2 linked regions of the Daphnia pulex genome follow. The protein of the gene in region 2 binds, or shares a complex with, the protein of the main gene of each other region. Links are inferred from orthologs where the notes say so. Each region holds a gene or a part of one and is shown on either strand. Other genes may lie near its edges. The genes, in order: nucleoside diphosphate kinase 7-like and gamma-tubulin complex component 3-like.

Region 1 (4,268 bases), on a different chromosome or scaffold from region 2:
AGAATCGGTCAGTTACTATAACGACACGACTACACCCAACCGCGGCGAGTTTCTTCACGTGTCCGGCATGCGAGTCGAGTACGATCTATCAAAACCCAGCGGTTCGCGTGTGGCCAGTATCTACATCCGCGATACGAACAACCCGCAAGGAGGGATGGCTCCAATTGTAAACAACCAAGTTTACAGAATTGGTATGCCCTCGTTTATCGCCAACGGTGGCAGCAGATTTTCGTCCATGGAAGATTTTGCTTTGAAAAACAGCACTGGTCAGTCGACATCATTCGTAATCTTTTGTAATCATAAACTAAACTTTCAATTGATTTCGGCAGGCGTTCGCGATGAAATTTTTCTCCGAGAGTACATAAAAAAATTAACACCACTGACTTACGGAAACGAAGGGAGAGTGAAATTTATCTCAAACACTGACAACCCAACGGTTTGCCCGAATACGAACGTCACTGGAACAGTATTTTGTGAGTGCTACAACCATTTTTGCTTATTATTAATTAACCTAACTAATTACTGCTATCTCACCCAACAGTGACTATCTTCTTGACGCTGCTCTTCTCTGGTATGGCTTTTGCCGCTTACAAATTTTTATGGCCAAAACTGCGAGACAGAAGAGGATCCCTCTTATCGTTGGTTCGGTAGGCTGTGTGAGAATGTGTGGCTAACAAATCGGTCGCGGGTTTTTTCTTTCACTATCTTCTGCACTCTTTTTGCCTGACTGAAGCTTTGAGTCACAATGCTCACCAATAGCCTAAATGATTTTACAGGAAAAAGAGAGACTAATATTTGTTATTATTATTGCTGTATTTTTTCCCCCAAATTTTTTATAGGATGAGTTCAATACCCACTTAGATGTTCATCACCCACATAATTTCATTAGTTTATCCTACTTCTACCCGATTCCGAAATTTTCCCGTTTTGGTGCTTACGAGTTCAGTTATTGCATTATGGTCCACAATATTGCCTTTATTTTACTGGAACCCACCAACATCCTTGAAAAAGAACTCAACCTGTATCAATTTGAAATAAAAAAACATTTGTTTAAATCATCAAATAAAAATATTTATACATTCAATAACAATTACACAATTACAAAAAAGTTAAATTTACATACCTCTCGTACACCATCGTCGGGTAGGTCGGTACAATGGATTGCATTATGTGTAATGTCATGTCCGAATCGGGCTCGCAAGGACGACGGATGTAATTTCCGCGCAGTATTCTAGAGAGTAAAGACAAAACGGATGTTAATAAAATACTTAGAATTAAGAAATTTTTTAAATGAAACTAACCGGATCAAATGAACCGACAAATTCTCTGAATGTATTGACATCAGAATCTACAGCCAATGCCACGACTGGTCCTGAAGTGAAATGTTTGATTTGGGCCTGATAAGAAAATAAATTCGATTAAAGATAAAATATTGGAGAGAGGATCAATTGAATTACCGGGTAATCATCCCAAACTCCTTTATAAGCAGCAAAGAACTTCTCAGCTTCAGTTAAACTCATTCTGTGAAGCTTCAGACTAGAAACTCTGTAGTTATTTTGTTGAATGGCAGCGATGAGTGCGCCCAACTTCCCTGCAAAAATAATTGGTACACGTAGATAAAGTCGTTGGTTTCCCATAGCGAATGGCAAAACACTAGTTTAAAATGTATACCTTCTTGGAGAATGTGTGGCTTAACAAGGCACAAAGTTTTGATGTAGGAAGGTTCGTAATGGCTATTCAAATTATTGAATATTAAGTTGAGCTCCTAGAAAGAGAAATACATGCCTTAATATTAAGAAACACACAATGGATTCTTTGACCAACAGTTTACCCTTGCAGCAGCTTCTGGTGAATCCGATCCATGAGCAGCATTATATGTAGTATCTTTTCCAAACAGGGCCCGAAGTGTGTTGGGTGCATCACTGCGAGCCACATCTGGATCGGTTGGTCCTAAACTTACTCGCCAATACCTGATGGCTGACGGGGCCAACAGTTCCATGGCGAGAACAGGACCGGACGAAATGTAATTTACAAGTTTTCTGTGTAGATAATAAACGATAAATGATCAAAGCGTATTTAACAAAAGTGATTTGCACACGTACTCATAAAATGCTCGACCCTGGTGTTCCTTGTAAAATTCCGCTGCTCTATTTGCACCAATTTTGGTCAGCATCAGTTTGTTGAATCTGAATCCCTTTCCTTCAATAAAGGATAGGACCTTTCCCATCTGCTCAATGACTTCAGGTTTGAGCATGGCATAAGTCCTGGAAACATTTATAGTTCATTTACACTTGATCACAAAATTGCACTGAACTGAGATAACCATTTTACATACCTTTCTGATTTCTTTGCCAATTCAGTTTTGGTTGTATTGTCGAGGTATTCTATCAGCTTCAGTTCTCTTCCAAAAACTGAAATTTTGTTCCCAATGTACAAATCGATTTCTGCCACTGTCTCACAGAATGATCTCTTCAAAAATGTTTTCTTTTGCTTGCTGTCATACTATTAAATAAAAGAAATATTATTTAAAAGTTTTATTTGTATACTTCAATTGTGTTTACCATTTCAACTGTCCTGTCTGAGGGGTAGTAAAACAAGACAAATGGACGCACCAGTGAAGATATGTCATCATACCACTCTACACTGATGGTGAATTTTTCTTCCTCCATTGTGTTCTACAGTGAAAATCAAATGAATATGTCAATCAGTTTGCAGCACAACAGCACAGCCAAAGTGACAGAGAAGTAATAAAAAAAGTTCGTACACGTTGGGCGAGGTAGAGGCCAGCAATGAGAGCGACAAAAGCAAGTACACTGGTACGAGAAGGGTAAAACATTAAGGTCAAATAATGAATCTAAAAACACGAATAAACGTCAAACAAATAAAACCGTAAACTGCTGGTTGGTTTAAGGAATCATTCGAATTCTATCGAATTTCTCGTGTCCAAATAATCCGCTTAGACGTTTTCTGGGTCTGACAGGGCCACGCTGCCGGATTTTAAAAAACGCATTTGTGTTCGAAAGTAGTTAAAGCAAGTACGCAACCATAGCAGAGCTATAGATACCTGGTCAGTTCATGGCTGTGTTGGCTTCCCTATCCCGGTTTCAGGGTAAACGTAAGCCGATTTGGAAGAATGAATGAGCGCCTCTAGTGAGTGTGTCAGCTACTACGTGAAGCCAGCCAATCAGGAAGGGTCTATGAAAAACTCATTGGCCAATCACAGCTTACTTTTCTACAAGAAGTAAACAATAATAAAAAGGAGAAGTATCCAACTGTCAAACCTCTAAGTTTTATCTAACTTCAAAGTGTCCAATCTTTTTAAGTGTCCTCACATTTTTACATTTTATTGTTTGGTTGTGTAAAAAAAAAATGTGGTGTAAATACATGGTACGTTTTATTCTTAGTTACTTTGAATTTTATTCTCTTTCTGCAATATTTCGATCTTAACACGCCAGCTGAGTCCAATATACCAGAAAGACGAGATTAAAGGTTAATATTTATGAACCTTTAATGAGGAATGCATGAACAAATTTTTCGATCGTTGAAATCCTTTATCAATTGCGTTATATTTTCAACTGTTGTGAAATGGTTTGACAAAGCAGTAGTGCTTGATGGAATGTTCTTTCTGTTGACATAATACATTACTTCTTGTTTGTTTTGAAAATGTACACTTTTCACATTATAATTTCCATTTGGTAGTTGATCCATCGAAATGCAATAAATCATTTGTTTGATTTGATCAAAAGACCATATCCAATTCTTTGGTATCATTGATAAAGTTACTAGTGACTGAAATGTCACAAAATTAGACTTGAAATTAGTAGAGCTTGCTTCCATAGAAGGTGATGTAACTGTCGAATCTTCAATGACAACAGCAACATTTTTGTTCATTACATCAGGAAGTGGATCAAAAATAGCTTCTTCAGCAGCCTGGGGAATGTCCATTGATTCTTGAATAGTAGAGGTAGCTTCCATAGAAGGCGATGCAACTGTCGTATCTTCAATGACAACAGCAAGATTTTCTTTGATTGAATCAGGAAGTGGATCAACAATTCCTTCTTCAGCAGCCTGGTGAATGTCGATTGTTTCTTGAATAGTAGAGGTAACTTCCATGGAGGGTGCTATAAGATTAAAATTAAAGCAATTGCTCTTCAAAATAAAATGTAAAGAGAACTATTATCAATACCTGTACTGTCAACTTTTTTTCTCTTTGACGTAGTAGGTGGTTTGTCTACTTTTGGTCGTTTCCTTACTGATGCATTGCTAGC
Region 2 (4,275 bases):
GATTTTGGTTTACCTGTCGTTTTTCAACTTCGAGTATGGCGGCTGAGAAAAGTCGCTCTTGAATTTGGCTGAATTGCAACATGGCTTCATGGATGCCCCTCAAATGATCCCGTATATCCTGGAACATAATGAATTATAGATTCATTGGAATCCAATAAAATCTAACTATTTCTACCTTTGATTCTTCGTCGAGGAGCGCACGGCTGGTCACCGTCTGCAAAAAGTGTTCGTGGGCCGTCAAGAGTTGATCCATGGTTTTTGAATTGCGTAAGGCGACGCTGAGCTGCTCCCAGGCGCAAGCCACCACCTCGAACGACAGGTAATGCGACATTTCCTGGGCGAAATGAATCATTTCGGAGAGCAGCAACTGGGCTTGATGCAAGACTCCTTGAACCTCTGCAATCACACTTTTTAGTCGTTAAACTTCTTTTTATAAATCAAATCAGAATTCCAACCTAATAAGCCCCTCAGCTGCCGTCCTTCCGTTAGCTGTTGATGGCGCAATTTGGACATGATCCATTCCATGCGCTTCGAACGCCAAAGGGCGTAAAAGAGAGTCTCGTAACGAGTTTTTACTTCAGGTGTGAGAATAGTTCCTAGCGGTCCGTCTACTTTGTAGTCGAGACTAAAGACATCCCATCCGCTGTCACCTTGCGACGGTTCGCTGATGCGCACATCAAGTCGTTTCAAAACATCCGCATCGTCGTACTGGCTGTTGGTGCAGCGAATGCACTTGTCGAGAATGGACGCCAACAAACGGCTCATTCGTGTGTTGGCAGGCTTGTCCAGCTCGGGCCTTTAAAAAATAATAATTCCATGATTAGTGTTTTGACAAAAAGTAAATAAAATTGGAGTTTACTCGACAAGTTTCATCAGATGATTGACAAAATCTCCCTGGCCAAGTAACAGATACTGACGAAGGGCGCACAAGTGGAGTTTGATGTGATAGCGGTCCAGCAAGACTTGCAGCAAGTACTGAGATGCAGTACTGTAAGCTTCTTCTATGGACTCCCAATCCAAGGAAAGCAACGATTCTAAATGAAAGGAAATATTTCAATGAAAATGAAGTAGATGTCTCAGGAAATCATTTCATACCGCTACGTTCTTCAGCTGTACGACGAATCTGGTTCAATCCCGGTATGGGGCTTTTATCCAGGCAAATCTCGCGCAGGAAGCAAATACTTTTTCCGGTGGTGGCCACTTGATGGCCTTGCTCTTGAGTGAAGAAATTAGGCACCATGATTGATCGTTCATAATACTTGTCATTCCATAAACTGCCGGGATCGACAGCCAGGTTCACGCCGATGAAGAATTCGCCATAAGGATCGCGGAGTTCGCCCTCGAACGTCCAAAGCATCAACATCTCGTATAACGGACGACACACTTGGACGAGAATTTTCAACACGACAGTTTTCAAGGTGGCGTTGCCTTGTAAAACGAAAGAGTGAATAACTGAAGCCAAAGCTCCGCCTCGTTGACCATGGCACGCTTCCACCAAAGCGGCCAAAAGTTTCATCCTGGCTTTAGGTTCTTTCGTCCATACTAGCAGCCTCTGGAATGTTAAGCCTTGCGTCTCGACTCCAACGCTATCACCTGTTCTAGCAGTGTGTACTTCCATCTGCGATTGAAGAACTGCTAGCAGTCTGTAGTACTCACCTGAAACAATACGTCAACACAAATGTTTTTGTAATAGTTTAATAAAGGGCTCCATTCAAGATTTACTGACTCAATTCTTCTTGTAAAGCGGCGGCGAAAGCCCTCGCGGCTAACCCACATGTGGATTCCGTTTTTGGGGATTCACAATACTTTTGAACTTTGTAGAATAGCCAGCCCAACTCCACCAAACTGAGTACCATCTGCTTCAGAGCTTTTGGTAATTTTACCTTAATAGGAAATGGGAAAAATTAAAAATAAATGTGTAGAACAGCTGTTTGTATATAGTTACAGTTGATTTAAGGTGAAGATTTTCATGGGTTGCATCCCACTGGAACACTTGTCCTTGTATTCCCTGGAAGGCATACAGGATTTCTCTAAGTAACACTTGGTTGGAGACATCTGAATGACCTGTAAAATGAACAAAAGTGAGATTGCTAATTTCTGAACTATGTGTGTTATAAGCTAAGAGTATGTACCATAAAGTGTTGTTTGTGGTGCACTTTTCTTGCTTGATGAAAGAGAAATTAGAGGAGAATAAGGAATTTCTGTATTCTTAGGTGTCTTGACCATTGTTGTGGTCTAAAAACAAAGAAAATTTTGATTAAATGTGCAAGATCTCTTTCTTTAAACTCAGTCCTACATCAGTAGTAAATGATGCCAATGATGGTAGTGTGAAAGAATGACGAACTACAGGTTCATTAGCTGCTGAAGGAGGATTCAGAGCCAAGTAGTACATCAATTCCAAAACAGCTTTTCTGTTTTTAAGGATGGACTGAAGAAGATGTAAACAATTAATATTTAAATAAAATTTATGTTGATGGTTGTCACTTACACTAGCAGTTAGCCGGGCATAAAGTTCATCAAACTTCCTAGCATCTTGATAGCGTTCCTTAGTACCCAGAAGTTTCTTGATACTTTGGACAATGGAAAACTCTGTTTCATGGGTTTGGGATGATAAATGTTGGGACGACAGCAACTGAAGCGCGAGTTTGTATTTTGTTTCATATTCTTTACCTACGAGTAACCCAGAAAAAAAGTACTGTCAGAACTGAACACACAACAAAATCAAGCTATTTTGATAATAGCTAGCATTAAATAAAAACTGCTCTTTGAATACTAGTTTCTGAAGACTTTCCACTGCTCAAAGATCTGCAGAGTTTCTCGACGAGAGCTGGAATTGTATTTTCATCCATAATTGAATTTTGTCAAACAAACTGTTGACCTGTTGTCGTATTTTTTTTATAAACAAAATTCAAAAAAGAGTCTACTGCTTTCTTGGACTCCGTTGGTGGTTTTTAAACTCATCGTTAGATGGCGTGTTCTTTGTTTATGAATCGTCCAACAAGGACAAAAAAGAGAGTATTTCTCGAGAGACTGCGTAACAAAAATAAAGATTTGAGATCATATTTAGTGGGTCATTTGTACATAAAGTGAGAATGACGGAGGTGAAACGGTTACCAGTGTTTGTTTTCCCAAGTTCGCTCAATTTCTTCGCTGATGAGTCGTCTTCACATAAACAAATGGTCACTGTTTACAACCCATATGATTTTGTTGTAAACTTCAAAGGTGCGTTGTTAACTGATACCACTTTTAGTATTAGTCCTTGAAAATTGCACTGATAACCTAACCTTTTTTCGCATGCTTTTGATAGTACTGTGTAATGCTCCACACAAGTACCAGATTGGCGATCCTGAGGGTTCTATAAAACCTCACTGTTGTATGGATATAGTAATACGACACATTTCTATTTTGCCAACTTGCTACCATGTTACGGACAAGTTCAGGATTCAAATGAATGAACACAACAGCAGACAGTTGTTAGGGAAGAAAGATATCCCAGTTATTTTATTACCAGGAAAATCGACAGGAATCTCAGACTCAACTGCTACTAGTCTGGATAACTTCAGACAGTTCTCCACAGATGTACCGTCAGCCTCTTCTAGTGACTCAAGCTCCTCAACTATGCAAATTCAAGCTTCCTCAAATAGCCTTGGAAAATTAGGTTGTTGGAGATTTATTGAATTGTTGTTTTCCAAATGATTTTACTAAGCACATAATTTTCTAGGTTATCAAAATGCTGGACCAAATTATATTGCCATTGTGGTGGCAGTTGTTTGTATTATAGCTCTAATGTTGCCTTCAAATGAAGCTGAAGGTGGCTCGTCATCCTCTGTTTGGTCAATGTTTCACTTGTCTTCACAACAGAAACTGGTATTTGCCTATTCTCTTGGTAAGTGTATTGGAAATTTCAGAAATTGAGTCAGTAATTAATTTTGAATTTTTAATGTATTAAGGTCTGGTTACAATGGTCATATTTCGGGTGTAAGCCTTCTTCCTGTGAGAAGTTCGAAGTACGCAATGAATGCGCACCTTTCTGTTCGCCAACTTTGAGAGATATGAACGTCAATGAGATTCCTTGAAGTCGGCTTAAAGTAACCATTCAGATAATTTATGAAGTAAATTTTAAAATTGGCTGGTCTCTTTTGAAAATTTAAATGAAAATTAAAACTAGCGAAAATTAATATGGAATGTCGTGCCCCCGATTGCAGACAAAACTCCAACCACCCTGTAAAATTGAAGAAAAATTATAATGCAACATTTTTGTGAAATGGCTGTATA

What was found.
Region 1: gamma-tubulin complex component 3-like (region 2) and nucleoside diphosphate kinase 7-like share a complex: the UniProt entries of both Homo sapiens proteins name them as parts of the gamma-tubulin ring complex. The link is inferred for Daphnia pulex from reciprocal best matches to the Homo sapiens genes TUBGCP3 and NME7.

Annotation. Positions count from the first base shown.
Region 1 is NC_060026.1:2,937,209-2,941,476, reverse strand, and holds nucleoside diphosphate kinase 7-like, read right to left. Parts: upstream 3,087-4,268; 5' UTR 2,837-3,086; coding exon 2,765-2,836; intron 2,676-2,764; coding exon 2,562-2,675; intron 2,503-2,561; coding exon 2,336-2,502; intron 2,265-2,335; coding exon 2,103-2,264; intron 2,040-2,102; coding exon 1,832-2,039; intron 1,766-1,831; coding exon 1,672-1,765; intron 1,592-1,671; coding exon 1,458-1,591; intron 1,398-1,457; coding exon 1,302-1,397; intron 1,232-1,301; coding exon 1,124-1,231; intron 1,064-1,123; exon of another isoform or gene 1,020-1,063; coding exon 981-1,019; 3' UTR 652-980; downstream 1-651. Other genes in the region: 5'-nucleotidase-like, read left to right, coding at 1-266, 330-473, 542-651; uncharacterized protein LOC124205225, read right to left, coding at 3,508-4,121, 4,187-4,268. UniProt on the Homo sapiens protein: Possesses an intrinsic kinase activity. Displays 3'-5' exonuclease activity with a preference for single-stranded DNA. Does not seem to have nucleoside diphosphate kinase activity.
Region 2 is NC_060018.1:811,146-815,420, reverse strand, and holds the start of gamma-tubulin complex component 3-like, read right to left. Parts: upstream 2,929-4,275; 5' UTR 2,850-2,928; coding exon 2,774-2,849; intron 2,671-2,773; coding exon 2,297-2,670; intron 2,236-2,296; coding exon 2,133-2,235; intron 2,065-2,132; coding exon 1,946-2,064; intron 1,884-1,945; coding exon 1,727-1,883; intron 1,657-1,726; coding exon 1,096-1,656; intron 1,035-1,095; coding exon 860-1,034; intron 797-859; coding exon 456-796; intron 397-455; coding exon 176-396; intron 119-175; coding exon 14-118; intron 1-13. Other genes in the region: motile sperm domain-containing protein 1-like, read left to right, coding at 3,093-3,222, 3,308-3,658, 3,722-3,886, 3,951-3,982; tectonin beta-propeller repeat-containing protein-like, read right to left, coding at 4,175-4,222. UniProt on the Homo sapiens protein: Component of the gamma-tubulin ring complex (gTuRC) which mediates microtubule nucleation.